Callithrix jacchus: one gene and its partners. The protein of the gene in region 1 interacts with the protein of each later gene in a biochemical or structural test. Links are inferred from orthologs where the notes say so. Each region holds a gene or a part of one and is shown in the gene's direction. Other genes may lie near its edges. The genes, in order: BAD, PAK1, AKT1, BCL2, PRKACA, BCL2L2 and YWHAQ.

Evidence for each region.
Region 2: of the proteins of BAD (region 1) and PAK1, one has a biochemical effect on the other in vitro, tested with the Homo sapiens proteins (3 studies listed by BioGRID). The link is inferred for Callithrix jacchus from reciprocal best matches to the Homo sapiens genes BAD and PAK1.
Region 3: of the proteins of BAD (region 1) and AKT1, one has a biochemical effect on the other in vitro, tested with the Homo sapiens proteins (6 studies listed by BioGRID, with this or other methods). The link is inferred for Callithrix jacchus from reciprocal best matches to the Homo sapiens genes BAD and AKT1.
Region 4: the proteins of BAD (region 1) and BCL2 form a complex in vitro, tested with the Homo sapiens proteins (5 studies listed by BioGRID and IntAct, with this or other methods). The link is inferred for Callithrix jacchus from reciprocal best matches to the Homo sapiens genes BAD and BCL2.
Region 5: the proteins of BAD (region 1) and PRKACA form a complex in vitro, tested with the Homo sapiens proteins (2 studies listed by BioGRID, with this or other methods). The link is inferred for Callithrix jacchus from reciprocal best matches to the Homo sapiens genes BAD and PRKACA.
Region 6: the proteins of BAD (region 1) and BCL2L2 interact in a biophysical measurement, tested with the Homo sapiens proteins (4 studies listed by BioGRID and IntAct, with this or other methods). The link is inferred for Callithrix jacchus from reciprocal best matches to the Homo sapiens genes BAD and BCL2L2.
Region 7: the proteins of BAD (region 1) and YWHAQ form a complex in vitro, tested with the Homo sapiens proteins (2 studies listed by BioGRID). The link is inferred for Callithrix jacchus from reciprocal best matches to the Homo sapiens genes BAD and YWHAQ.

Annotation. Positions count from the first base shown.
Region 1 is NC_133511.1:121,342,697-121,346,935, reverse strand, and holds the start of BAD (bcl2-associated agonist of cell death), read left to right. Parts: upstream 1-1,439; 5' UTR 1,440-1,929; coding exon 1,930-1,975; exon of another isoform or gene 1,976-2,059; intron 2,060-2,146; exon of another isoform or gene 2,147-2,269; intron 2,270-2,505; coding exon 2,506-2,700; intron 2,701-4,239. Other genes in the region: integral membrane protein GPR137, read right to left, coding at 1-348. UniProt on the Homo sapiens protein: Promotes cell death. Successfully competes for the binding to Bcl-X(L), Bcl-2 and Bcl-W, thereby affecting the level of heterodimerization of these proteins with BAX. Can reverse the death repressor activity of Bcl-X(L), but not that of Bcl-2.
Region 2 is NC_133511.1:63,616,968-63,620,467, forward strand, and holds part of PAK1 (serine/threonine-protein kinase PAK 1), read left to right. Parts: intron 1-344; coding exon 345-482; intron 483-3,500. UniProt on the Homo sapiens protein: Protein kinase involved in intracellular signaling pathways downstream of integrins and receptor-type kinases that plays an important role in cytoskeleton dynamics, in cell adhesion, migration, proliferation, apoptosis, mitosis, and in vesicle-mediated transport processes.
Region 3 is NC_133509.1:139,660,245-139,664,229, reverse strand, and holds the start of AKT1 (RAC-alpha serine/threonine-protein kinase), read left to right. Parts: upstream 1-1,185; 5' UTR 1,186-1,269; coding exon 1,270-1,315; intron 1,316-3,985. UniProt on the Homo sapiens protein: AKT1 is one of 3 closely related serine/threonine-protein kinases (AKT1, AKT2 and AKT3) called the AKT kinase, and which regulate many processes including metabolism, proliferation, cell survival, growth and angiogenesis.
Region 4 is NC_133514.1:106,292,019-106,296,128, reverse strand, and holds the start of BCL2 (apoptosis regulator Bcl-2), read left to right. Parts: upstream 1-1,310; 5' UTR 1,311-2,207; intron 2,208-2,430; 5' UTR 2,431-2,713; coding exon 2,714-3,301; intron 3,302-4,110. UniProt on the Homo sapiens protein: Suppresses apoptosis in a variety of cell systems including factor-dependent lymphohematopoietic and neural cells. Regulates cell death by controlling the mitochondrial membrane permeability. Appears to function in a feedback loop system with caspases.
Region 5 is NC_133523.1:12,873,214-12,876,713, reverse strand, and holds part of PRKACA (cAMP-dependent protein kinase catalytic subunit alpha), read left to right. Parts: coding exon 1-55; intron 56-3,171; coding exon 3,172-3,336; intron 3,337-3,500.
Region 6 is NC_133509.1:57,649,357-57,653,528, forward strand, and holds the start of BCL2L2 (bcl-2-like protein 2), read left to right. Parts: upstream 1-1,372; 5' UTR 1,373-1,475; exon of another isoform or gene 1,476-1,481; intron 1,482-1,724; 5' UTR 1,725-1,812; intron 1,813-2,280; 5' UTR 2,281-2,288; coding exon 2,289-2,720; intron 2,721-3,332; coding exon of another isoform or gene 3,333-3,482; exon of another isoform or gene 3,483-4,172. UniProt on the Homo sapiens protein: Promotes cell survival. Blocks dexamethasone-induced apoptosis. Mediates survival of postmitotic Sertoli cells by suppressing death-promoting activity of BAX.
Region 7 is NC_133515.1:105,347,839-105,352,062, forward strand, and holds the start of YWHAQ (14-3-3 protein theta), read left to right. Parts: upstream 1-1,424; 5' UTR 1,425-1,502; intron 1,503-1,913; 5' UTR 1,914-1,995; coding exon 1,996-2,289; intron 2,290-4,224. UniProt on the Homo sapiens protein: Adapter protein implicated in the regulation of a large spectrum of both general and specialized signaling pathways. Binds to a large number of partners, usually by recognition of a phosphoserine or phosphothreonine motif.

The DNA of each region.
Region 1 (4,239 bases):
GTAGAGGTTCATAAGCGTCAGGGTGAAGAACTGCAGGCAGACAGGGCAGCAGTAGAGAAGCCAAAAGGGCAAGGGCCCCAGGCGGTTGGCTCGGGGAGTATCTCGGAAGTAGAAGGAGAAGAGGGTGGTACGCAAGGCAGCCCAGAGCAGACAGAGGGCCAGGAACACCGTCTGATAGCTGAGACGCTTGTGCCCATACAGGAGCACCAGCCAGAGCTGGGCATAGACGGAGAAGAAGAGCAGGGCATACAGGGTGGTGTAGGCGGCTGTCAGCCCCAGGGTCACAGCAGGTGGCAGCGCAGGCACCAGCCCGGCAGCAGGCACCAGGCCAGACAGGTTACTCTCCATGTCAGGGAGGGAGGCCTGAATCCCTGAGACAGAGAAGGAGGGGCTGTCGGCGGGGCCAAGGAAATAAATACGGAGGGGTGGGAATTGCAGGGTGCAGAGAGGGAGATGGGGCGCTCAGGAGGAAAGAAGTTGTGGCTGACAGACCTCTCCTCCTCAACAGAGAGACCCCTGCCCTTGGGGAACATGGGCAGCCTGGGCCCCAGGCCCCTCACTCAGGGGCATGGAAGGGCAGTTTCTTCTCTCCAGGGCAGATCGGTTGAGGGTTGGTGGTGTCTCCTCCCTGGGCCTACCCCAGAGCCAGTGATGGAGGGAAGCAGAGGCCCAAGGAAAGGAGTCCCTGGCCTGAATCGCTCGTGTCGTCCTGGCTGGAGGGGGAGAGCCGGCCGATGCCCGTTGGCCCAGGGCAGCGGCCGCTATCGGGGGCGCCCAATGCCCCGCTCTCCCCCTCCCCAAGTTGGGGGAGGCTCTCTCCTCCAATAATGCGGATGGGGAGAGCCTCTGCCTTCTGTCCTCGGAATTCTCGGAGGCTGCCCCCGCCCCACCCCTCCACCGCGTCCACTCTCCAGCGTCAAGGGGCGGGAGGAGGCGGATGCCAGGTCCTCAGGCCGCTGCTGGGAGAGCCGGCTCAGATCGTGGGGACCCGGGGCTCCGGCTCCCCGGCTCCCGCTGCTCCGCCCCCTCCTGCGCCTGCGCGGGCGCCGTTCGCTACGCAAATTGCGCAGGGGCCGGGCTGGCTCCGCAGTCTAGCGCCGCACCCGGCGTGGAGCCGTTCGAGAATTGGCACGAGCTGCGCCGCTGGCGGGCGCCCGGGGTTACAGGAGGCGGCAGGCGGGCGGCCGAGTTGCGGGGGACTGTGCCGCACACAGGGGACCCCCGGGTAGGCCGCGCCCCGGGCCGCCAGCCTTTACTAGTTCGGGGGGCCGCCAGTTCCCACGCTTCTCTCCCCCATCCCCAAATTGGGGTCTTGCCTCCCGGCCGGGGACAACGAATCCCCGACCCTCGGTCTCTAAAGAAAACTTCCGCCCATAGCCAAGATGGCTTCCGGGCCCCGCCCCCGGGTCTGAACCCGCGGAGCCCCGAATCCCCCGCGCGGGCCCGCCCCCCGTCCTGGCGCGCCCGCGGCCCCGCTCACCTGGCCTGCCGCCTGCCAGGCGCGAAGCCCCCGCGGGCCCTACGGTCCACCCTCACTGGGTCCCCGGCCCTCCTCCCGCGCCCGGGCAGCCATCCCAGCCAGGGAGGAGGTTCCCTCCCTTATCTCCAGTGCCCCCGAGATGGCGCGGGAGGTGTCCCCCGAGGCGGGCGGCGCGAAGCTTCCACGCCTGGGAGGAGGAGCGGGGAACGGGACTTTCCGACCGGGTCACCCAGTCCAGGCGAAGCAGTAACAATAGCAACAATAATCGCATCCGACGGCTGAGCTTCAGTTGCGGCTGTGCCGAGCGCCTTCGCCCGTAGTAATCACTCCTTTCACAAAGTTTTCACTGGCTCCCGGGAGAGCTGTCACCATCCCCTCTTCACTGGAGGTAAACTAAGGCCCAGAGGGGCTGAAGGACTTGTCTGCAGAAGCAGGTCTCCAGGTTCCAAATGGGGACCCCAGAGAATCCCTCTCCTGCTCCTACACACATCCAAGGTGTGAGGCAGTAGGGATGTGAGAACCCGGGCCGCGGGAGGTAGGAAAAAGGCGGTGGGCTAGGAGGTCGGGACGAGGGGGGGCGGGGCCGGGCCGGGTTGACCCCGCCTCTGGACCTACCCGAGTGACGTTGCGAGAGGTGATTGGGGCAGGTCGCTGACAGTTCCCGTTGCCCAGGCAACTAGGGCCGGGAGCCCGGTTGCAGGAGGGAGGCGGCAGGCCCGGGTCAGGGGCCTCGAGATCGGGCTTGGGGTGAGACCTGTCCGCCGTCACCACGGGCGGGGCGGGACCTGGGTAGGCCCCTGGGTAGGGGCCTGGGTCCACCAGGGTTCTGACGGGAGACTGAGGTCCTGAGCCGACAGCCTCAGCTCCCTGCCAGGCCAGACCCAGCAGACAGATGAGGGCCCGGGAGGCCTGGCGGGCTTCGGGGCGCCAGGGTGGGAGAGGGAGCCAGGGGCACCTGCCTCTGCCTTCCAGGACCACCGTTGGCCCCAGCTGTGCCTTGACTACCTAACATCTTGTCCTCACAGCCCAGAGCATGTTCCAGATCCCAGAGTTTGAGCCGAGTGAGCAGGAAGACTCCAGCTCTGCAGAGAGGGGCCTGAGCCCCAGCACCGCAGGGGACAGGCCCCCAGGCTCTGGCAAGCATCGACGCCAGGCCCCAGGCCTCCCGGGGGACGCCAGTCACCAGCAGGGACAGTCAACCAGCAGCAGCCACCATGGAGGTGAGTTCCCCTCCGCCTCCACCTGCTGGGTCGCCTCACTTCCAGCCCATTGGCTCCCTGCATCCCAGCTGCATCCACACGCACTGAAGGCTTCGGGGCAGTCCCCAACCTCTCAGAGCCTCAGTTTCCTCTTTTGTAAAACAGAGCAATTAATCACCACCATTGTAGGACTGTTGGGTTAATTAGCAGGAACATATAGGATTCACTTGATTACAGAGCTGGTGCACATTAAAGTGGCAAAATGGCAGCTGCTGGGCCTGGTGGCTCACACCTGTAATCCCAGCACGTGGGGAGGCCAAGGCAGGAGGATCGCTTGAGCCCAGAAGTTCAAGGTGAGCCTGGGTGACATAGGGAGACTCCATCTCTTAAAATACATACATATATATATAATGGGTAGCTATTAGTGTGGGGCCAGGATAGAAATCAGTGACAGGCAGGCAGTGATGCAAAAAGGAAAAGTGACTTGCCTAAGGTTACACTTGCCTGGGGTTTCCTTCCTTAGGAGGTGGGGCTGGAAGGCTCCTTGGTGCCCTGCCCCAGGCTATGTGCTTTCCCTGGGATTGGGCCTTCCAGCTCCCGGGTGTGTTGTCTTGTCCTGTGGCTCGCACCCACAGCAAGGCTGTCCTGGTACAATTGCCAGGAGCAGGTGACCTCAAGGGGCAGACAGTCCTCCCAGACAGCGGGGCTATGTGTGGTGGGGAGCACAAGCTGCAAGATGGAAGGATGAATGAACACTGGGGGTCACGGCCATTTCTCAATAGGCTCCACTACCTTGTGCCCAGCACTGGCCTGGAACAACAACAGATAATTTCGGAACAAAGAAACTAGGTCAATCCGGGTGGGGTGGCACATGTCTGTAGTCCCAGCTACTCAGGAGGCTGGCTTGAGCCCAGGGATTCAAGACCAGCCTGGGCAATTCAGCCAGACCCCATCTCTAAAAATAGAAAACTAGGTCAGGTCACTATTGCACTGAAGCTTAAACGACCTCCTCCCCATTTTCAGGATTAAGAAGGCTTAAGAGGCCTCCTCCCTCTCCCTCTCTTACCACACACACTCACTCCCTTCCTCAGATTGGACCCTATAACTTGCTTTTTTTCTCTTTTCTTTTTTTTTTTTTGAGACAGGGTCTCACTCTGTCATCCGGGAGGGAGTACAGAGGTGCAATCTCAGCTCACTGCAGCCTGGAACTTCTGGGCTTAAGTGATCCTCCTACCCCAACTTCCCAAGTAACTGGGAATACAGGTGTGTGGACCACACCCAGTTAAATTATTTTTCACTTTTTCTTTTTCTTTTTAAAGATGAACTCTCACTCTCTTGCCCAGGCTGGAGTGCTAGGCCTCCAGGTGCAAGCTAGGAGTTAGCTAGGACTTCAGGTGCAAGCCACCACGCCTGGCTAATTTTGTGTATTTTTAGTAGAGACAGGGTTTCACCCTGTTAGTGGGTATGGTCTTGATCCGACCCCGATTTAGCCTCCCGAAGTGCTGGGATTACACTCATGAGCTACCACCCTTGGCATTTTTCGCTTTTTCATTAGAGACG
Region 2 (3,500 bases), about 58 Mb from region 1:
TCAAAAAAAAAATATAATAATAAACCCTTAGTTCTGTAACATTTCATAAGTTTACAAAGTACTTTTAAATACACTATCTTATTTTTACAGACATATGAGATGGGCATTATCATCATCCCTACTTTACAGACAGGGAAGTTGGAAGTTCAGTGGCTTGCACATAGTCTCATGGCCTTCAAATGTAAAACCTGATCCTTATGTTATACTCTTTCAAGTATGTATACACAGCTGCTGCTTTGCATCCTAGAGCATAAAGCAGCTGACTGTATTTCTAGAATGTGTATATGGGGAACAAGAGAGAACCTCAGTTGGAGCTCAAGGTGATTTACCATCTTTATTGCCAGGCCTTGTACCTCATTGCCACCAATGGGACCCCAGAACTTCAGAACCCAGAGAAGCTGTCAGCTATCTTCCGGGACTTTCTGAACCGCTGTCTTGAGATGGATGTGGAGAAGAGAGGTTCAGCTAAAGAGCTGCTGCAGGTAACTGTCCCTATGCAGGGAAGCACCAAATTTAAGGAATCACTAAATCAAGCCTTTTTTACTTCATGTTTTTCTATAAGGTAGTGGATATTATAGAACTAGGCTTCTCTTCTACCACTTCCCACATTCACTCTGTTCCTACTGCCCTAACTTTTATCCCTGGGACTTTGCTCATACTCTTTTCTTAGCCTCTTCCTGTACACATTCTCCTAGGCTCAGTTTACAATCTATTTTCTGAGCACACTGAGCTTTCCATGTAGCTTTCTTGCTTGCTTGCTTCCTTTCCTTTCTTTTCTTTCTCTTTCCTTTTCTTCCCTTTCTCCTCTCCCTCTCCCTCTCCTCCCTTTGTTTTCCATTTTTTTTTCTCCATAGGGTCTTACTCTCTTACCCAGGCTGGAGTGTGCGATGACGTGATCTTGGCTCACTGCAGTCTTCCTCTCCTGGGCTCACTTAAGTGATCTTCCCACCTCAGCCTCCCAAGTCGCTGGGACTATAGGTGCACACCACCATGCCTGGCTAATTTTTTAAAAAACTTCTTTGTAGAGACAGGGTTTTGCTATGTTGGCCAGGCTGGTCACAAATTGCTGGGTTCAAGCAATCGGCCTACCTTGGCTTTACAAAGTGCTGGGACTACAAGCATGAGCCACTGTGCCCATCCTGCTTGTATTTTTCATTAGCACTTCCTATGTTCTGTTTGAATTAGTCTGGCAGTTTGTTTGAGTCTTGATGAGAAACAGCTCTCTAACAACCAAATCCTACACAAGTTATATTTTGCTGGGATTAACTCAAAGGATACATTTTTAGCAAAGGAATGTAAGTTTTATTTATGTTTTATTTTTTGAGACAGGGTCTCTATTGCCCAGGCTGGAGTGCAGTGGAGCAATCATGGCTCACTGCAGCCTCAACCTCTCCAGGTTCTGCTGATCCTCTCACCTCAGCCTCCAGAGTAGCTCGGACTGCAGGCATGTACCACCATGCCTGCCTAATTTTTTATTTTTTTGTAGAGACAGGGTTTTGTCATGTTGCCCAGGCTAGGCTCAACAATCTGCCCGCCACAGCCTCCCAAAGTGCTGGAATTACAGGCATGGCATGAGCAACTACACCCATCCATGGAACATAAGTTTAGAAGATAATTAGTGAGTATGGCTTTTGGAGTCTTTACACTTTCTTCATTGGAAATCCTCAGATGATGGCATTGATACTCTACTTGTTGAGTAAGATTTTGCCAGTTTGTGGGGAAATTCGGAGTCAGGGATTTACCAGGCCTTTTATTCTCCCACTTGCCTAAACCTGATAATTTTATATGGTTGCAAAAATTGCCTTTGGCAGGCCACATCATTTGTATTTAACATGTATGTTTCAAGTACAATTTCTTATAACTAGAGTTCTTTTATTGTATTGCCCACTGGTGATTTAATAGTAAGTATCACATGCAACTTTATGAAGGCATGCACTGTCATTTACTTTTATATTATGAAGCCCAGGAGTGACAGAGCAGGGCAGGGCAGGACCTAGCATATTGCCCTGTGTTAAAGTTAGTTATGAGTCTCTTTCCTACTGTATTATAACCTCTATTTTATTAATCCCTCAGTCTCATGTTTTACCTAGGACCTGACTCAGGATGGGTACTTAGAAAATATTTATTGAATTGAATGGAATTGCTGGAATAACCTACATTGGAATATCACCTTCTGTAACATATTTAGCATCTCTTTGTAATTGAGGTTACTGATTATGGAGCATTGGCCTATTAGGTAAAGAGATCTGGGTTCTGCCAAGGGTAACCCATTAGTCTCTAGTATCTGTTGGGACTACAAGTCTCTTAGTACAATGTACTAAGAACTCTTGCTGTTCATAAGAGTTGTATTCTAGAAATTGTAGGTACTGGAAAATGTGTAAATACTGTATGCTAAGCCTGTGATTAGTAGAGATGCCATTGTTGGTTAATTACCAAATTATAGTTCTTAAAAAGTTCATGCCCTCTAAAGTTTTCTTCCTGATATGGTAATATAAATAGTAATAAATGCATTATATTGAATCTTTACTATATTTTAGGCACTAAACCCTTTATATATTTAGGTGCTAAACACTTTATGTATTAGCTTTCAAAACAACTCTGTGAGTTGTAGGTTCTGTTATTCTCTTTTTTTTTTTTTTGAGATGGAGTCTTGCTCTGTCTTCCAGGCTGGAGTGCAATGCTGCAATCTCAGCTCACTGCAACCTCCATCTACTAGGTTCAAGCGATTCTCCTGCCTCAGCCTCCCAAGTAGCTGGGATTACAGGCTTGTACCACCACACTCAGCTAATTTTTGTATTTTTAGTAGAGATGAGGTTTCACCATGTTGGCCAAGCTGGTCTTGTACTCCTGACCTCATGATCCACCTACTTGACCTCCCAAAGTGCTGGGATTACAGGCAAGAGTCACTGCACCCAGCCAGTTATTCTCTTTTTTTTTTTTTTTTTTTTGAGACAGAGTCTCACTCTGTTGCCCAGGCTGCAGTGCAATGCTGCAATCTTGGCTCACTGCAACCTAAACCTCCTGGGTTCAAGCAATTCTCCTGACGCAGCTTCCCCAGTAGCTGGGATTACAGGTGCCTGCCACAACACCCAGGTAATTTTGTAGTTTTAGTAGAGACAGGGTTTCACCATGCTGGCCAGGCTGGTCTTGAATTCCTGACCTCAGGTGATCTGCCTGCCTCAACCTCCTAAAGTGCTGGGATTACAGGCTTCAGCCACCGCACCAGCAGTTATTGTCATTTTTACAGATGAGGAAACTGAGGTTTCAAGTGTTTAGTAACTTTTCCATTATAGCTGATAAGTGGTAGATTCAGGATTTCAGCCTGTTTGGCTCTCAATTGTGTATGCTCTTGGCCACTGCTCTTATAGGCTCAAAGAGTATCACAACTAGAAAGCCCTCAGGGCTCATCTAGTCTGTTTTGTTTATTAGACAGAGAAGGAAACTGAGGCCTCCCAGTTCAGTGTTGGATCATGCTGCTCTCAACTTAGTGGAATTGTAGA
Region 3 (3,985 bases), on another chromosome or scaffold:
AGAAAGGTGGCCTGGCGGCAGGGAGAGAGGTCGCCAGGGGTCTCTGCCTGGCCTAGAGGTCCCAGAGAGGACCCTCCTCCCCTCAGGAAGGTCTCTCTGGAAGGGTAGCAGAGGACTGGTCCCAGGAAGAGCATGCCACATGCTGTTTCTGGGGATGCCTGGAGTTGGTGATATGGGAACTGGGTTTTGAGGGATGCCTAGGAGTTCATCCATCAGAGGGGAAATGAGGAAGCCGTACAGGATCAATGGCCTAAGTGTGCTCAGGTGAGGGCTGGCTGGTGGGCACTTCAGGGTGGGCACTGCTGGAGGGCACTGTCCAGTGCTCCTCCACTTACTTGCTGCCTCCCAACTGCTGTAATTACGGGTCTGTAAGCACCCTGGACTGGGCGCTCCTCACTGACAGACTTGTCTGAACCTCTCTGTCTTCAGCACCCGGCAGTGGGCCTGGCAAAACGCCTGGTACACGTTGGTCAAATGAATGAACCAGATTCAGACCGACAGGGGCGCTGTGGTTTAGGAGGGGCCTGGGGTTTCTCCCAGGAGGATTTTGGGATCTCCCCGGAGGGCTCTGGGCTCCCGTTTGCGCCTGCAGCCTGCATCCTGGTCCTGCCTTCATCATGCCTGAGTTTCTTTGCTTTCCTAGTCTGGGGAGCAGGGAGGAGCCCTGTGCTCTGTCCCAGGATCCTTGGGGAGGAACACCACAGACAGGGAGAGCAAATGGGGCCATCTGTCACCAGGGGCTTAGGGAAGGCCGAGCCAGCCTGGGCCAAGATGGTGAAAGGGGCTGCCTGGAGGAGGCAGCCTGTCAGCTGGTGCAGCATATTAGGGAGGCTGGGAAGGCCTTTTGGGGAAAGAGGTGATTTGTCTAAAGGCAGGGGGAGGTGGGAAAGGGGGGTGAGCAAGGCAGCAGCTCTCAGGGCCTGGCTGTTGGGGTGGCCACAGCGGCAGGGGCCGCCGGCTCTGAGCCAGGAAACTGTTCAATTACTTGGCAGCCTGAGTGTTTTGGGGAGAGGTAAGGCAGGCCGGCACATGGGGGTCAGGGAGCCTAAAGGGATGGCAGCTCCCCTGGGAAGGCAGGTGTGGTGGAGCTCAGGCGCATGCGGTGGGTCTCGGGCTCATTCGGGGCGAGGAGCTGTCCTTGTCCAGTCACGGCCTCATACACAGCTCCCTTTACTTCTCCCAGAGGCTGTGGTCAGGTCAGCTGGGCTCGGGGATCAGCGGCCTGAGAGGAGTGCGTGAGCGTAGAGGGAGCCTCGGGCACCGGGCACCATGAGCGACGTGGCTATTGTGAAGGAGGGTTGGCTGCACAAACGAGGTCAGTGCCGGGGCTGGGCCTGGGGAGGGAGGGACGGGGGTGGCCGCGGGGTCTGAGTGCCTGTACTCAGGCCTGTTGGCTGGGACAGGCTGCCCCCCCCCCGGGGCTCCTGGCTGGCCTAGGGTGAGTATCTGGGGTCCCATGTCTTCCCATAGCTTGGAGGGCCTGGCCTAGGGAGGCTGGGAGGATGAGGCCCCGTGCAGGGCCAGCCATCACAGTGGTTTCCTGGTGCAGGCCCTTGCAGGCAGGGGAGCTGCTGCCAGCCTCTCTTTCCTGGAAGGCGGTGAGGACGCTGGGTTGTTCCAGTGCCTGGCACGCTGGCGGCCCGGGGCACTGCCCAAGGGCTCCTGAGGGCAGGGCAGGGCAGGGCTGCTTGGCTTGGCCTGGTGCCTGCTTCAGGCCTGAGTTTTGGGGGTGGGGGGGAATCCGTACCACATGGGCACAGGGTATGTTTGCCTTGGAGCTGCAGAGCTGCGTGAGCCCAGGCCCCCCCAGCCCCTGAGTCCTCCTCCTCATTTGGCCCTGCAGCCCATGGAGAGGGTGCTGGCCGAGGGGGCCTGGCCAGAAACTGGTGGGATGGGAGCTGGGGCCACAGCCTCACCCCTTCCAACCCTGTGCAGGCCCTTCTGCCTTGCCCACCGTCCATGCTCAGTGGGGTGCAGAGGAGGCTGGATGGCTGTCAGACTCCTCTGTCCCGCTGGGGCAGGTTCCTGTTCAGGTCCAGGTCCTTTGGACCTGGGGCAGTTACCTTCTGCTTCTTTTTCCAGACCTGTTCCCTCCTAAGTTCTAGTGATCTCATGCCAGCAGCCCACCCCTCTTTACATACACCCTCTAGCAGATGGATTTCACATGTGCTAGTGGGGAGACCCCAGACACAGCTGGAGCAGACAGGGAAGACTGGCAAAAGTGGGTGTCACAAGATGGGGCATTGTGGGATGTATAGGAGCTCACTGCAGAACAGGCCTGAGAAGCCACAGGAGCCTGGGAGTGGGGTGAAGGAGTGACCAAGATGAGATGCCAGGGGTTTGGGGGTGTGGTCAGCTGTGGGTTTGGAGTGTTCGAGTGGGCAGCTACCAGGATGGCACGCGGGACCTGGAGACAGAGACAAGGAGGCTGCAGAGCCTGCAGTCCTTGGGGAGCTTCTGACGTGGCTTGCTGCCCAGCATACCGTCTCCATCCCCCGCCCTTGCTGTCCCTGCTTGTTCCCCAGGAGTCCTGTTCCCTGTGCCTGGAGGTACTCTGTTGCCTTGCCTCACAGCCCTCTGGTGTCGGGGACCCCCTGCTCCTATCCTGTGCCTCTGTGTCCCGCACGCCCTGCTGCTTGGAGCTGCCGCTTCCTCATCCTCGGCAAATGTTTGTTTGTTGATGGACTGTTGGATTCAGGGCTGACCCAGGAGATGCCAGGGCCTCGACTGCCCAGGGGCCCAGGCCCAGTTACTGGGGCACCCATCAGCCAGCTGGGCCCAGGCCGGGGTACTTGTCTGAGGCCTGGGTGAGTTTCAGTTTTCTGCTCAGGTCATACCTTCGGGAGGGGCCTGGCGGAGACGGGACATCAGGCCCAGTGGGGCATCCAGAGAGCTGAGTTTGACCCCTGTTTGCCACTCCACCACAGTGTCCCTTTCCAAGGGCAAGTTCATATAGCGCCTCAGGCCTCGGTTTCCCCATCTACACCAGGGTGCAGTGGTGGGAGGGAGACCTTGTGGTGTGGAGAATGGCTTGTGGGGTCCCTGAGTTGGGGTCCAGCCAGCGTCTGCAGCCTCTGGGCTCTGTCGCCTGGCCCCCAGCCTCAGGCCAGGAGAGAGGGTCCTGGACCTCTCCCCGCAGCTCTTCCTCCCCCATCCCCGGTATAGTGGGCACTGAGGATGCGAGGTAGCGTGGATGTAACATATGCCCTTGGCAGGCACGGCCTCTCTTGTTGCCGAGAGCAGGCGGGCTTCCACCTGCAAGGCCGGCCCTGCTTGCCGAGGAAAGCCTGTCCTCCAGGGCCTGCCTCGTTTTCCCACTCCCTGTACCCCGGGTCCCCTGTGTGTTGCAAATGTGCTCTGCCATCCTGCTGGCAGGGCCAGCGTACCCACAACACAGGTTGGAGGTGCCAGCTGTCTCCCTGTCCCTAGCAGGGCTGTGCTGGGCGGCCCCCACCCCTGCTTCAGGGCTCAGGCCTGGCTGGGGGCGGGAAGCAGGGAGAGTTGCAGTGACTATCCTCCGGGCCCAGCCACAGCCCCTCGCAGGTGCCCTTTGCTGCTCCTGGACTTTCCGCGCAGGGTAGGGCGCTGTCCCGGAGTGGGCCCTCGCCCGTTTCCTTTGCCAGGACTCCCCGCGGCCATGGCCTGGGGCACGTTGCTTCTCCGCTGAACTCCTAGGCGACAGTTCCGCCACGGCTGCTTGGGCTGGCCACGCATGACGTGATGGTGCCTTCGGGGGTGCTGTGGCCGCTAAGATGAGTGGGGGTGGCTGTGCCCTGTGTGTGAGTGGCTGGGTGGCCGTGTCTGCAGAGCCCAGGCGCAGCTCCTTCTCCTGCCTCTTGGGAGGCAGGTGTCGTCTCTGGAGAGTGGCCCAGGCTGCTTTCTGTTGTTCTGAGGTGTGTGCTCTGGGTCAGAGGAGCTTCAGGGGCAGAAGGGACCTGGCATGAGGACATGGGCGTTCCAGCTCCAGGCCTATGTGGACCTGTGG
Region 4 (4,110 bases), on another chromosome or scaffold:
TCCGATGAATTTAAAACTGATTGCACTTACACACGTCTGCGAGTGTGGATGTGTATATATCTGCGTACATCATTTGAGAAAGTGCGGCCATCTAGGATTGGCTACAAGGCAAAGGTGGAGAAAGGTGGAGACCTTTAGGAGCCCACCCACCCCAGCGTTAGGACGGTGGGCCCGAAAGTTACTATGCAGAACTCTTCAGCGTGCAGCCCTGACCCAGTGCAGAACGTGTTAGGGACAGAGGAACAACACGGACTTAAATTATTTTAAAGCCCTTGATAACCCCTCGCTGGCTCCTTCCGTGGAGCGCTGAGTTCTGCCTGGCCTTGGCCACGTACTGGATATTCACGGGGACACCGGCGAGAATGCGCGCGCGTGTGTAGTGCGCCGACACCTAGTAATCCACTTGAAAGTAAACACTACGCTGGGGGCGTCCCTGGATATTGCTTAAAACGTTTCAGAGTCGCCTGTTTTCACCGCAGGGCAGAGCTAAGGTCCCCCTGCTTGGGGGTGGGGGGTGGGGGTGGCATTGGCCTGGGTCTTCCCCCGGGGGCAGAGCGCGGGTAACATGGCGTGTGTGTGTGTGTGTGTGTGTGTAGGCGCGTGTACACACACACGGCTAGAAAGGGTCCAGGCGACACACACACACACATACACTCACTCTCTCACTCTCTCTCTCTCTCTCTCTCTCTCTCTCTCAGTCGGCTAGAAAGGGTCCAGGCGGTTCCCGGCGCTTTTCCAGCCCTTGTTTTCATGGCGCACCCTCCCGCCAGCCGCCCCCCTCCGCTCTCCGTCGCCGGCCGGGCCGCGTGCGGTTCCCCGGCAGCCCCCACCCCCTCGCGGACCCCGAGGTCCGCGCCCGGCCCTCCACAGGCCTGAGCAGAAGGCCCGCTCACACCCACCGCGCCGCGGCCGCGCGGGAGGCCTGCGCCGCCCGCGCAACCCGCGCCACCCACCGGCCGGGCCGGGCGAACGCAGCGGAACGGGCGGGTGGCCGGCCCGGGTGCGCCCTCCCCGGTCGCGGCCCCGCGCGCCATGTGCCCCCGGTGGGGTGCGCCGCTCCCGGGCCCGCCGCGGCGCCTTTAACCCGGGCCAGCGAGCGGGGCGGAGGGGGCGGTCGGGCGGCTCAGAGGAGGGCTCTTTCTTTCTTCTTTTTTTGAATGAACCGTGTGACGTTACGCACAGGAAACCGGTCGGGCTATGCGGAGAATGAAGTAAGAGGACAGACACCCCCGCCCCGCGCCCGCCCCCTTCCTCCCGCGCCCGCCCCTCTGCGCCGCCAGCCCGCCCGCCGCGCCGCCCGCTCGCCGCTCGCCTTGGCCCCGCCGCGCCGCCGCCGCCGCCGCTGCCAGCGAAGGTGCCGGGGCGCCGGGCCCTCCCCGCCGGCGGCCGTCTGCGCTCGGAGCGGGCTGCGCGGCGGGAGCTCCGGGAGGCGGCCGCAGCCAGCGCCGTCGCGCAGGAGCAGGAGGAGGAGAAAGGGTGCGCAGCCCGGAGGCGGGGTGCGCCGGTGGGGTGCAGCGGAAGAAGGGGGTCCAGGGGGGAGAACTTCGTAGCAGTCGTCCTTTTTAGGAAAAGAGGGAAAAAATAAAGCCCTCCCCCACCACCTCCTTCTCCCCACCCCTCGCCGCACCACACACAGCGCGGGCTTCTAGCGCTCGGCACCGGCGGGCCAGGCGCGTCCTGCCTTCATTTATCCAGCAGCTTTTCGGAAAATGCATTCGCTGTTCGGAGTTTAATCAGAAGAGGATTGCTGCCCCCGTCCCCGGCTCCTCCGTCGTCCCCCCTCCCCTGTCTCTCTGCCGGGGAGGCGTGAAGCGGTCCGGTGGATAGAGATTCATGCCTGTGCCCGCGCGTGTATGCGCGCGTGTAAATTGCCGAGAAGGGGAAAACATCACAGGACTTCTGCGAATACCGGACTGAAAATTGTAATTCATCTGCCGCCGCCGCTGCCTTTTTTTCTCGAGCTCTTGAGATCTCCAGTTGGGATTCCTGCGGATTGACATTTCTGTGAAGCAGAAGTCTGGGAATCGATCTGGAAATCCTCCTAATTTTTACTCCCCCTCCCCCCGACTTCTGATTCATTGGGAAGTTTCAAAGCAGCTATAACCGGAGAGTGCTGAAGATTGATGGGATTGTTGCCTTATGCATTTGTTTTGGTTTTACAAAAAAGGAAACTTGACAGAGGATCATGCTGTTCTTAAAAAATACAAGTAAGTTCTCTGCACAGGAAATTGGCTTAATGTAACTTTCAATGAAAACATTTGAGAATTTTTACTTAAAGTGCATTCGAGTAAATTTAATTTCCAGGCAGTTTAATACATTCTTTTTAGCCGTGTTACTTGTAGTGCGTATGCCCTGCTTTCAGCCAGGGCATACAGGAAAATGCACCTGATTTTTTTAACTTATGAGTTTGTTTCTTCTTTAACCTTTCAGCATCACGGAGGAAGTAGACTGATATTAACAATGCTTACTACTAACGTGCCTCATGAAATAAAGATCCGAAAGGAATTGGAATAAAAATTTCCTGCGTCTCATGCCAAGGGGGAAACACCAGAATCAAGTGTTCCGCGTGACTGAAGACACCCCCTCTTCCAAGAATGCAAAGCACATCCAATAAAATAGCTGGATTATAACTCTTCTTCTTTCTTTGGGGGCCGTGGGGTGGGAGCTGGAGCGAGAGGTGCCGTTGGCCCCCGCTGCTTTTCCTCGGGGAAGGATGGCGCACGCTGGGAGAACAGGGTACGATAACCGGGAGATAGTGATGAAGTACATCCACTATAAGCTGTCGCAGAGGGGCTACGAGTGGGATGCCGGAGATGTGGGCGCCGCGCCCCCAGGGGCCGCCCCCGCGGAGGGCATCTTCTCTTCCCAGCCCGGGCACACGCCCGGTCCCGCCGCGCCCCGGGACCCGGTCGCCAGGACCTCGCCGCCGCCGCCCCCAGCCGCCCCCGCCGCCGCCGCCACGGGGCCTACGCTCAGCCCGGTGCCACCTGTGGTCCACCTGACCCTCCGCCAGGCCGGCGACGACTTCTCCCGCCGCTACCGCCGCGACTTCGCCGAGATGTCCAGCCAGCTGCACCTGACGCCCTTCACCGCGCGGGGACGCTTTGCCACGGTGGTGGAGGAGCTCTTCAGGGACGGGGTGAACTGGGGGAGGATTGTGGCCTTCTTTGAGTTCGGTGGGGTCATGTGTGTGGAGAGCGTCAACCGGGAGATGTCGCCCCTGGTGGACAACATCGCCCTGTGGATGACCGAGTACCTGAACCGGCACCTGCACACCTGGATCCAGGATAACGGAGGCTGGGTAGGTGCACGTGGTGATGGGAGTCTGGGCTGAGGCTGCAGGTCCGAGATGTGGGGGTTGGAGTGCGGCGGGTGGGCTCCTGGGGTAAGGGGAGGCTGTGGGGCTGGTGAAATAAAATCAGGGTTGTTGCTTCCCGGCGTCCATAACCTCTTCCTCTGGACAAAGTGTTCTTTCCCAACCTGAGTGATGACGCCTGCCCTCTAAAAGTCTTTAACTTGCTCGCTAGTTGAGGAGGTCCAGTAGGATGTGGTGGTCAATGGTACCCCTTCAGTGTTTCTCGAGCTGGAGGTCCAGGAGTCCCCAGGACCACAGTTTCCTGGCCTGAGCAGCTTGTTGGGACCGGAGGGAGGTTTCAGGGCCTGCTTATGAACCAGATGCCAGGTTGGGTCTTGACAGTCTGCATCCTAAACAAGCTCCCCTGAGACACGCCCCTGGTGCACTTAAATTTGGGAACACCCCAATGAGAAGAACAGACTCCACAGAAGACTAAGGGTACGCTTTTTCTAACTCGGTAAAATTTTCCAAAAGAGGAAAACCAACCTGAGTCCCTTTCCCTGGAAAACTTAGTTGTGTTTGTAAAGAGCTAAATTGACATTCCAAAGTCCTTGCACTGGAATCTCCAGTGTGTGCCATATTTCCAGTGGGCGTGACGCAGTGTCTTGAGGGGTATTGGTCTATGGCTTTGCTACCTCGTCAGTGACAGAATTTGCATCGGCTGCATTCTTTATGTTCTATAATTTGTGTATGAGTTACTAATTCACTAGAATGTTGTTAGAATCTTTTGTTTTTCACTACCTAGAGTCGACATA
Region 5 (3,500 bases), on another chromosome or scaffold:
GCCCTTCTTCGCAGACCAGCCCATCCAGATCTATGAGAAGATCGTCTCTGGAAAGGTGAGGCCTGGATGAGGGGCACAGTCCTGAAAGAATGAGACAGTCCCTTCCCCGCTCACCCATCCTACTCTCTGGGGAGCCCTGCTTGTTGTCAGAATCACCTAGAAGTTCCGTAAGTCAGGCCAGGTGGTGAAGCTGGATGTGCCAATACCATGAGCCCCCTGGCTGTCCAGCGCCAACCCCACGGTTCCAGAATCCCAGGGGCTTCCAAAATCCCGAGCCTCACGGGAACTTCCCTGCTGCAAAACACAAACCACCTTGCCAGGCGACCCTCCTCACCTCTCCTTGTCCCCGTCAGTGTGAGTTTTCGCAAGTTCCAAGATGTATTTGGTTCCCAGGTGCAGTCTGCAGCCTCACCAGGAAGGACCCTCGCTTAGGGTTTAAGGCCCATGCTTCCTCTCGAAAACACAGATTTGTCAAACTCTGAAAGTTCAGATTAAGGGTGGTAAAACCATGTAAGCTTGTATCTGTGACAGGTGCAAAGTGCCTGCCATCTGCCAGGCCCCAGATTCACCCCCCTCAGTCACACCCTGAGATGGTGGCACCCTCTGTAGGAGAGGTGAGGAAACTGGCTGGGAAAAGAGATGTGTCCTGACCAAGATCACACCTTAGTGAGTAAGAGGAGTCATCATAGGCACTGATGGCCAGAGAGGTTGGGGACCCCACCTCTGCCCTCAGCTCAGCCACCTTGCTGGGAGGACCCAGCCATCCTCCGACCTGGTCCAGCATCTCCTACATAGGAGCTTCTGGTCGGCCCAGAGTCACCACACCCGGTGGGAGCACCCTCAGGCTCAGCCTGGGCCCAGTGCTGGCTTTGAAACTTTGGGGCTGGGTGCAATGGCTCACGCCTGTAATCACACCACCTTGGGAGGTGGAGGCTTGAGGCCAGGAGTTCCAGACAAGCCAGGGCAACATAGCCAGACCCCATCTCTTTAAAAAATAAAATCTAAAAATTAGCTGGGCATGATGGTGCACCCCTAGTCCCAGCTAATCGGGAGGCTGAGGCAGGAGGATCATTTGAGCCCAAAAGATCAAGGCTGCAATGAGCTGTGATTGCACCACTGCAATCCAGCCTGGGCTAAGAGCCAGATCCTGTCTTAAAAAAATTCAGGCAACTGGGGTTCTCTGGTTAGACACATAGCATCACTAAAAGGGAAAGATGGAAGGCCAGGCACAGTGCCTCACACCTGTAACCCCAGCACTTTGGGAGGCCAAGGCAGGTAGATCACGAGGTCAGGGGTTCAAGACCAGCCTGGCCAAAATGGTGAAACCCCATCTCTACTAAAAATACAAAAAATTAACCAGGCATGGTGACGGGTGCCTATAATCCCAGCCACTAGGGAGGCTGAGGCAGAGAATTGCTTGAACCCAGGAGGCGGAGGTTGCAGTGAGCTGAGATTGCACCACTCCACTCCAGCCTGGGCAACAGAGCAAGACTCCATCTCTCAAAAAAAAAAGAAAAAAAGAAAAGGAAAGATGAGGCATTTGCCACTAGGCCGAATAGAAATTGCCAAGAAAATGGCCCAGAGTGGGAAAAAATGGAGAAAAAAGCCACAGAAGATCCCACAGGGGAAGACGCACATGATGCCCTTCTTTGTAGCATTTTCCAGTCCCCCCGCACCCTCAGTGGTATTATCTTCCTCGTGCAGCCCTGAGAGGTTAAGGGCCATGGCCAAGGTCACACAGCATGTAAGAGGCACAGCAGGAACAAGAAGTCATTTCTTGCAACTATAACTCCAGTGACGACTTGTCTACAAGGCTATGTACTCAGAACGTTTGGGGAAGATTTCTACAAGAGTTGGGCTGGGCTTTAAAGAATGGAAGAGACTTAGCTAGGCAGGGAGAGAGGGAAAAACGTTTAACATAAGCATGACTATTTCAGAAGTCTACAGACCCCAGCACAGATGGCTTACGGCAGCAGTAGCTGAGAATGCAAGTTCTAGAGTCCCACAGACCTGAGATGGAATTGCCCCGTCCCACTCCTCAGCGTGACCTTTGAAGAGTTCTTTAACCCTTCCAAGCCTCAGTTTCCCCTTCTCTGAAATGGAAACCATAATAGCACTTGCCTTATGGTTGTTAAAGGGGACTCCTTTCCAGCAGGACTATTGCTGGGGAATTGGCTAGAAATGCAGACTTTTGGGCCAGCCACGATGGCTCACACCTGTAATCCTAGCACTTTGGGAGGCCAAGGTGGGTGGATCACCTGAGGTCAGGAGTTCGAGACCAGCCTGACCAATATGGCAAAACTCTGTCTCTAGTAAAAATATAAAAATTAGCTGGGTCTCGTGGCGTGCGCCTGTAATCCCAGCTACTTGGGAGGCTGAGACAGGAGAATTGGTTGAACCCAGGAGGCGGAGGTTACAATGAGCTGAGATTGCGCCACTGCACTCCAGCATGGGTGACAAAGTGAGACTCTGCCTCAAAGAAAAAAAAAAAAATGCAGATTCTTGTTGGGTGTGGTGGTTCATGCATATAATCCCAGTACTTTGTGATGCCGAAGCAGGATCATTTGAGCCTTGGAGTTCGAGACCAGCGTGGGCATCGTAGCGAGACCCTGTCTCTACAAACACTTTTTTTTTTTTGAGACAGAGTCCTGCTCTGTCGCCCAGGCTGGAGTGCAGTGGCACAATCTCGGCTCACTGCAACCTCCACCTTCTGGGTTCAAGCAATTCTCCTGCTTCAGCCTCTGGAGTAGCTGGGACTACAGGCACGCACCACCATGCCCAGCTAATTTTTGTATTTTTAGTAGAGCTGGGGTTTCACCATGTTGGCCAGGCTGGTCTCAAACTCCTGACCTTGTGATCTGCCCACCTCAGCCTCCCAAAGTGCTAGGATTACAGGCGTGAGCCACTGTGCCCAGCCAAAAACTTCTTAGAGTAACTAGCTCTTTAATTTTTAAAAAGTTGTTTGAGAAATGCATATTCTCAGGCCACAGTATCAGACTTCCTAAACCAGAAACTCTAGGGTGGGCCCAAGGAGCTGTTTTACAGGATGCCAGCAGGCACTCAGCTTTGGAGGCACCCACCCAGTAGGACTGCTGGATGGAGAAGGAAGCATCCTGGGCTCCCCAAGTTCCAGAGCAGCTTCCCACCCTGTCCTTGTACCCCTTCCTCCAGGTGCGGTTCCCTTCCCACTTCAGCTCTGACTTGAAGGACCTCCTGCGGAACCTCCTGCAGGTAGATCTCACCAAGCGCTTTGGGAACCTCAAGAATGGGGTCAACGATATCAAGAACCACAAGTGGTTTGCCACGACTGACTGGATCGCCATCTACCAGAGGAAGGTGGGCCTCCCCTCCTTAAGCCTGCTGAAGATTTGGGGGCAGGCCAAGAGTCAGGGAGGACAACCAACAGAGAGATAGAAAGGGAAGAGGGCCAGGCTCAGAGGCTCACGCCTGTCATCCCAGCACTTTGGGACGCCAGGGTGGGTGAATCACCTGAGGTCAGA
Region 6 (4,172 bases), on another chromosome or scaffold:
CCATTTCTAAGACAGAGTCTCATGTCACCCAGTCTGGAGTGCAATGGCATGACCTCAGCTGACTGCCACCTCTGCCTCCTGGGTTCAAGTGATTCTTGTGCCTCAGCCTCCTGAGCAGCTGGGATTACAGGTGTGCACCACCACACCTGGCTAATTTTTGTATTTTTAATAGAGATGGGGTTTTGCCATGTTGGTCAGGCTGGAATGGAACTCATGGCCTCAAGTGATCTGCCTGCCTCAGCCTCCCAAAGTGTTGGGATTATAGGAATGAGCCACCAAACCCAGCTAGTTGTTACTATTATTGCTGCAGAAAAGACCTTGCTTCTCTAGTGACCATAAGGGCAGTTGGTAATACCAAGGCTTGGATTGGAGGTAGAAGCAAAGGGAACTAGCAGAAAAAGAGAATTGGATCTCCTCTTTCTGGCCTTTGTTTGGGGTGATGTTTAAATGGAGGAAATGCCAGATCCAAGAGCCCAGGGGGCTGGCTGTGAGTGCCCTCATGTGGATCAGCTGTGGTTAGACTGCTTAACGCCTTGTGGTCTGCCCCATATAAATATACTGCCATGTATAAATAATGGCCGAATATATGTGTAATCTGGAAAGATAAACATCAAGTTTAACACTGGCAACCTGCAGGGAGGGAAGTGGAATGGTGTGTGTGTGTGTGTGTGTGTGTGTGAGTGAACCTGCATTTTATTACTCCGTACCTCTTTATTTGATTTTTTTTTCCATGAGAAGTAGTTCATGTGTTAGGTAAAAAATAAAATAAAATAAAGTAAAATAAATCTATTACAAAAGAATATGAAGAATTAAAGAAAAGGACCAGCAGAAACCGCTTGTGATCCAAGTCCTGGCTCCCTGATGCCTGGCTGAAGCCCAGCCCACAAGCAGAACACTGGGTTAAAGGTCGTGGAGAAAAGAGGATGGGAAAGGTTTGGTGTCTGTGTGGTGTCTGCTAGTCCCAGAAGGGTAAGGCACCTGGCAGGCGGTTTTCAGCTTAATGGGAACTGCTCCTGTTTTCCAGGCACACACAATCCAGGGCTGGAGAAGTTCAACAAGTGCATGGAACATCGGAAACCTCCTGGAAATGCTGAATTTGCCTCGAGATGTCCTGAAGTCCAGCATACTTCTCTGGGCAGCCTCGAGGCTCAGGAACCCAGCCCAGCCCAGCTTACTGTGCCCTCTCAGCCAGTCCTTCTTAGCCTTCAGCAGCCCTCCCTCTTCCTGAGTAGTGGCCCTTCGCAGGCCTGCGTCCCAGCCCCGCCCCTCTCTCTGGACGCATCTCTGGGCCCCATCATCACCCGGCGCCGGGCCCTCCCTCTGCCCCCCCTTTCTCCTCCCTCCTTCCCTCCCTCCTTTCCTCCCTCTCTCCCTCCCTCCCAGCTCCTGCACCAGGAAACGGCCCGGATCCCGGCAGCGGCCTGACCCGTGAGATCCCTAACCTGGCAGGCGGGCGGGGTTGAAGACTGGCTGAGGTGGGGGTAAGGGAGGAGCTGGGCCTTTGGGCTGCACTAGGGGGAACCGGGAATAGAGATGGTGTCGGCAGGAAGCCCTTCGCCCTGGGTTTCCCAGGAGGACAGTCATTAAACATGGATTCGGCCACACAGCTAGTAGAACGTTGGGGGCAGGGGCCCAGGCCCAGAGCTGCAACCCCAGCCCTCCCAGGCCAGACCCTGATCCCTGGCCTTCCCCTCCTGGTTCTGATCTCCCCCTCCCCTTTTCAGGGCTCCACGCTGGCTGGGAGGATGAAAGGCCCCAGCTGGGGGCTCCTTGCCACCAGCGCTGTGTCTTAAGAGCTGCCATCCCGGCTGGGTGAGTGTCTCCTTCCTTTCTCTGTCTGGAGGAACCCATTGCGTCTCCCACCTTTCTCTTCAGCCCATCTGCTCCCCTTCATCTTGTGCCTCTGCCAACATCTTTACATCTTGCATTTGGGGAGGTCCTAAGCCCCTTCCTCTGGCCAAGAAGGTGTGGACTGAGCAGGGGGAGGTGTGTAGGGGTGTCACAGAGCTGACGTTGTCTTATTATGAAAAGAATCTAAAGTGTTCTAAACAAAATTTACTTGTTTTGCATTTAATTTTGCATATTAGGATGTAATGGCCAGCCTATCGAACCCTGGTCCCGCATCATAACTTAATTCCCTTGTTCTTGCCTCTCCCTGTCTAGTGAGCTCTGAGCATTTCCTCCATCCTCCCCATCTCACTGGGTTGGGCAAACCAGAAATTCTCCTTCTGGTTCTCTGTCCATATATTAATGCCAGTCTTTCATCCTTGCCTCTTATAGCTGCCCGGATGGCGACCCCAGCCTCCGCCCCAGACACACGGGCTCTGGTGGCAGACTTTGTAGGTTATAAGCTGAGGCAGAAAGGTTATGTCTGTGGAACTGGCCCCGGGGAGGGCCCAGCAGCTGACCCGCTGCACCAAGCAATGCGGGCAGCTGGAGATGAATTCGAGACCCGCTTCCGGCGCACCTTCTCTGATCTGGCGGCTCAGCTGCATGTGACCCCAGGTTCAGCCCAACAACGCTTCACCCAGGTCTCCGATGAACTTTTCCAAGGGGGTCCCAACTGGGGCCGCCTTGTAGCCTTCTTTGTCTTTGGGGCTGCACTGTGTGCTGAGAGTGTCAACAAGGAGATGGAACCACTGGTGGGACAAGTGCAGGAGTGGATGGTGGCCTACCTGGAGACGCGGCTGGCCGACTGGATCCACAGCAGTGGGGGCTGGGTAAGAAGCTTCTCAATTGCCGCTCTGCACATCCCTCTGCAAAGCTGGTCTCCAGGGGGAAGATGGGGGCTCTGATTGGAGGCTGAGGCAGCTATGTTGGGAATGAGGTATGGGGCTGAGGCTCCCCGTCTGGGTGGAATCAGACTGAGAGATGCCTGGGCTCTGCACTCCAGGGCTGCCATGCAGTCAACACTGGATGGGCTCATGGTCCCAAGCAGAGGGCAGAATATGCACCCAAGGAGTGCCTGCAGGGGAATGGTGTCAGGGACTTTTTGCATCTGAGTCATGGCATGGGAGGTGGGGAGGATCAGGGATGGGGGGTGGTCAGGCAATCCTTGGCAAAGGATGCTAGTTCTGAGCAGAATTTTTCGCCAAGGAAAGGATGGAATTCACTGGAGACAGAGTGGGCAAATGAACCAGTCTCTCAGGGTGGGGGTATGCCTGGGGGGATCAGAGGGGCTTGTAGTAGAGCCTTGACTAGAGAGGAGCTGGGAATGGGGTAGTGCTCGCAGTGAATGGAACTGGAACTCTTCCTCTCCTCTTCTCTCCACTCTTTCCTCTCCTGATATCCCTTTCTCCTTCTTTCTCTCCTACTTCCCTTCTCTCCCACAGGCGGAGTTCACAGCTCTATACGGGGACGGGGCCCTGGAGGAGGCGCGGCGTCTGCGGGAGGGGAACTGGGCATCAGTGAGGACAGTGCTGACAGGGGCCGTGGCACTGGGGGCCCTGGTAACTGTAGGGGCCTTTTTTGCTAGCAAGTGAAAGTCCAGGGCCAGGTGGGGCTAGGTGTGGCTGGGGGTCTGGAGAGCAGGAACAGAACAGAGAAATGCCCTTGGAAGAAGTGGAGTTGGTGGATGGGTGGGCATGGAACAGGGATGGGCAGGGGAAGGGTAGTGTGTAAGGGAGCTGAGTAGGCCAGGTAGGCGATTAGAAGAATGAGCAGGACATAGGGGAGGGGAATGTTTTGGCAAGTTTAGGGGGGCAGGAGATGGAGTCGTTCCAGGGCTGGGGGAGGTGGGAGGGATCATGCCTATAGGTGTGGGCACATGAAACGACCTGGAACTTGGTTTGTAGCCATGAGGAATGTGGACTTGCATAAGCAGTTGTGTTTCCATTGGATGAGTGGAATTTGGGGAACATAGAAGGTACATCCCTTTGGAATGGAAGCTTGAGGGTTCTTGGGCGATAGGGAGAGGTGGCTGTAACCATGGGCTGCTTGGACACACGTGTGCATGTGCACGCATGCTGCTGTGCATGCTGGGCTGCCTGGCAAATCTGGTGGTGGTGGTATTCCCCAAGGAGAAAACATTCCCTCTTGCAATGGCAAGAACTAGGAGCAGTTCTCTGCCCTGCCCCCCACAACCCCTCCTTTCCCTTGCCGTTGTCCTGATGCCTCAAGGCTTAGAGAGAAACATTGTATCCAGACATAGGGCTCTGCTGCTTCTCTCCAGA
Region 7 (4,224 bases), on another chromosome or scaffold:
GCACAAAGCAACCTTTACAAGTCAGGACAGGGAGGGGCAGCCACGAGGGAGTCTGAATTTCTGGAAAGTCGGCACCTTCTCCTCCCATCTGTCTGCACTCTCAGATCTTCCATTCTAGAGATTCTCTAGATTCGCTGCAGTCTCCACTGAGAATGGGAAATTCTTTCTTGCCTGTGGCATTCTTGGCCCTTCAATGATCCATTCTCCCTAGACCTGCTGGAATAGGGATCAGAGCAGTGTGAACCCAGATGGCAATTCTCATCCTAAGATGGCACAAAGGCCACTCACCAGAAGGGCAGGACAGTCACCCTACCTGGATGGAGTGAGGGCACTGGGGAAGTGCCAGGAGAGACAGGAGTGCTTTAAAAGGAAAGTGAGATGCCAGGGATGACCCTGAATGGGAGGAGCCTGGGGAAATCTTCCCCACTTCAGCAGGGTGTTCCCCAGGAGAAGAAAATCAGAAATCAATACCCAGGGAGAGGATTTCAGATTTTCAAGTGTCCTCTCACAAATAATACCAGAAACGAAAAGCGTGTGCACAGGCGACAATGATGTGAAAAATTATGTATTTAGACGCATAACCTGGAAAGCCTGAAAGAAACATAAAAATTGATTTTTGGGGAGGGAGATGTTATGGGCAGGCTTTTTTTGGGGGGGAGGGGTAGTTATAGGTGTTTCCCTGCAAATTGTGCTTACTGGCATTCCCCATTTTAAAGAAAACCGCAGAGACTCGCCTGGATCTTCTGGGACATACCTTTTCATAAGGGAATTTTTTTGTTTTAGGTGCCCATCTGAAAACTTGAATGTATCATGTAAATGCCATACTGAAGCCAATGTCTCCATGAATCAATTCTTCTTTAATGGGGATGTGGTTTGCTGAATTCGGAACCCTAGTGGCAACGTCGTTAACGTCTGGGTTTAGTGTCTTGGGATCCAAACCTTTGTCACGGAGGGAAAGGTGGAGGAAAGAAAGGCCCCTGTGCTCCAAACAGCCGATTATGTCACCCTCCCAAGTCCAGCCTCGGCCGGAGCCCGCGAGATGCAATGCACCATCCGCAGCGGGAGACGCGGCCGCCGCCTCGGAGGTCGTGCGCGCCTCTGGGTCTCGTGCCGCACCCAGAAGTGCCGGGGTGGCGGGGAGGCTGAGGGGAGTTGGTAACGGCATCACCATGGCAACAGTGACGTCCTTTTACCCTGGATCTAATTGGAGGAAACCCCGTGGCCGGAGCCGCAGCCTGCCGGCCAACCGAACTTCCCCGCGCCGACCCACCCTCCTAGCCTCCGCGTTCCCTCCCGCCCCGCCCCCTCGCCCCCTTCCGCGCGCTCGGTCCTCACTGGCCCGTGGCGCGTCGGGGGGCGGGACTCTCGGGGCAAGCTCGGCGCGTAATTGGGCGGCGGACCGCCCCTCGGCTCCGGGGTAGGCTGAGACGGGAGGGTCCTCGGCTAAAGCCAAAGGCAGATCAAAGTGGTGGGACTCGCGTCGCGGCCGCGGAGACGTGAAGGTGAGCATCTGGGTTGGCCGCGGGCCTCCTCCGGCCGCTCTGGGCTTGAGGGCCCGGCTGAGGCGCCGCCCTTGGGAGCGGCGGGCTGTCGACGCCGCTCCCCTCAGGGACAGCTCTGGGCGGGAAGGTGCGGGGCCAACGGTCGCTTCCATCTTGGGCCGGCCGGGCGGGGGTGGCGGGAGCGGCCGCGGCTCGGGCTTCCCGCGCGCGGGGCCTCCGTGCCGCCCCCGCCTCCTCCTGCCGCGGGCCGCGGCCTCTCCGGGCGCCTGACGGGGGCGGGGGCTGGGACTGGGGAGAGGGAAATTCAAGCGGCCGCGTGTGCAGGAGACAAAAGCGGGCAGCGGGTCGCATTGTCTGACGGCGCTCCCTCCCTGCTTTTTGTTCTCGCCTCGCCGCCCCGCCCCTCCGCAGCTCTTGAGTCTCCTCCCGCTCCGGGTCGGCGCTCGCCCTCGCTCTCCTCACCCTTCGCCCCGGCCCCGGCCCTGCGCCCGCCATGGAGAAGACGGAGCTGATCCAGAAGGCCAAGCTGGCCGAGCAGGCCGAGCGCTACGACGACATGGCCACCTGCATGAAGGCAGTGACCGAGCAGGGCGCCGAGCTGTCCAACGAGGAGCGCAACCTGCTCTCCGTGGCCTACAAGAACGTGGTCGGGGGCCGCAGGTCCGCCTGGAGGGTCATCTCGAGCATCGAGCAGAAGACCGACACCTCCGACAAGAAGTTGCAGCTGATTAAGGACTATCGGGAGAAAGTGGAGTCCGAGCTCAGATCCATCTGCACCACGGTCCTGGTGAGTCCTCGGCGCGGGGAGCGGGGGAGGCCTTTTGTGGGGTGCTTTTCATCGAGAGTTTCGCGGGCAAGCAAGGAAACGTGAGCCGGACCTTGCCGGACTGTCTGCCGAGGTGGAGGGTTTCAGGCGAGCCCTGGCTTCCCTGGTTCTGGAGACTCCCGAAACCGCTTTTCCAAGGACAAGTCCATCTCTTTTCCCAGATGCTGGGTAGCTACCAAACGATGGAATTTGGAAACATCCAAGTAGGTCTCTGCGAGGCTGAAAGGCGGTTGTAAGTTTTTTGTGCCGGGAGACTGTGTCCCGAGATCTCTGAGCCGTTTAAATGTATTGAGTCGGTTCACCCGCTTCAGGCAGTTGAAAGAAGGCGCAGGCACCTTTTTGTTAGACAGTGTGGTAGGGATTTTCCCCAAACCCGGTAATTGAAATTTACTTCGAAAATCTGAGCAGTTACTTCATTTTTCTAGTAAGAATGTCTGTTGCGCCCCCCACCCCTTATAAACAGGAGAGATGGGGGAGTTGGGTAAATGTTAAAAGGGCACAGCTCTATCTGAAGAACACAATGTCCTGGTAAATTTCAACGTTTAGTAACATTTCTTTGCTGTCGCGTAGCTGTGCACTAGTGTTGAAGCGAATTCGTTTCTGGTTTGGAGCAAGCTTTCCAGGTTTTGAACTGTCCAGCCTTAGCAAGGGTGATTGTTGGGTGGAGTAGGTGGCTGGTGTGATTCACCCTTATTAGTGAGAGAGAACATTTTTAGCTTTGTCATTGCACGAATCTTTTGATCAGTTAGATAAGTTTTTAAAATTGAAATACCAGTATTATATGCAGGAGTGTTTTTTAAACGTTTCAGTGCTGCAGTCATTTCTTTGAATAAAATAGGAAATAATCTGACATGATTTGCCTCTCTTTAAGTGCCACTTTTACATGAGGCCTACTGACTTTTTATGTGTTTGTGCACATCGTATTTTAGGTGGGCTTTGGCATGCTAGACTGGTGATTTTTTTTTTTTTTTTCAAAAGGGAATAGAAAAAATAATTTCGCTCTGGCTCCCTCCCCAACTCCTTGTTTAAAAAAAAAATCCACAGAACTATTTTAACCTATTTTTCTAATACGACGACAGGCGCTCCGAACAAAACCATGGTGGATGGAAATAGCTGGTAAAGGGGCAAAGAAAGTAATGCAGACAGAGTGCGCACTGAAGTGGAGAAAGCTTGAGGTTATTTACTTTATGAAGTCAAAACTTTGTTTTATTCATCGTGTGTTCTTAGCTTCCAGTCCCTGTTTGACGTTGCAGAAGCCCTTGTAAAAGTTCTTTGGACTGAATTGCTTGTATTAAAAAAAATTTGCCCGCTTGAAAGTAATGGTAGACTTCACCTTCAATAACATATGGTAATGGCTGTTAACAGCATTATCTGTTACCAAGGAAAGACTCAAGAATTCCATGTTAACAGGGTTTTCTGTATATGTATTTTGGGTGCTCTCACAGCATATATTTCAGTCTCTTTCTGAAAAGACTATTACTTTGCAGTTAGTAACCTTGAGGCAATTCAGAATCGCCACATAATTTTTCTTTTTCTCCATCAAGGTGACTCTGAGTCAAAGGAATATTTGTTTTATTTTGTGGCTCTTACAAATTTTACTTTTTATGATGGCATAAGTTGGGGGAGAGTTTTGTTTAGTTGATGTGTAGCTTGAGAGAGAGACCAGGTATTATTAGAACTCTCATACAGATCATTTCAATAGGAGAGAACCCCTGAATTTAGGACCGTCTCTTTTATATACTAAGAAGAGATAGAATACTTTACCTTGATGAATCTGAGACACCAAGGCATAAATTAAATATTCATAAAATGGCTTAAGAGGCTAATCGTGGCTTGGTGGCCAGCCTATCTTGGGAAAGCACTTCTTCAAGTTGGCAACTGTATTGAGAGCTTTCT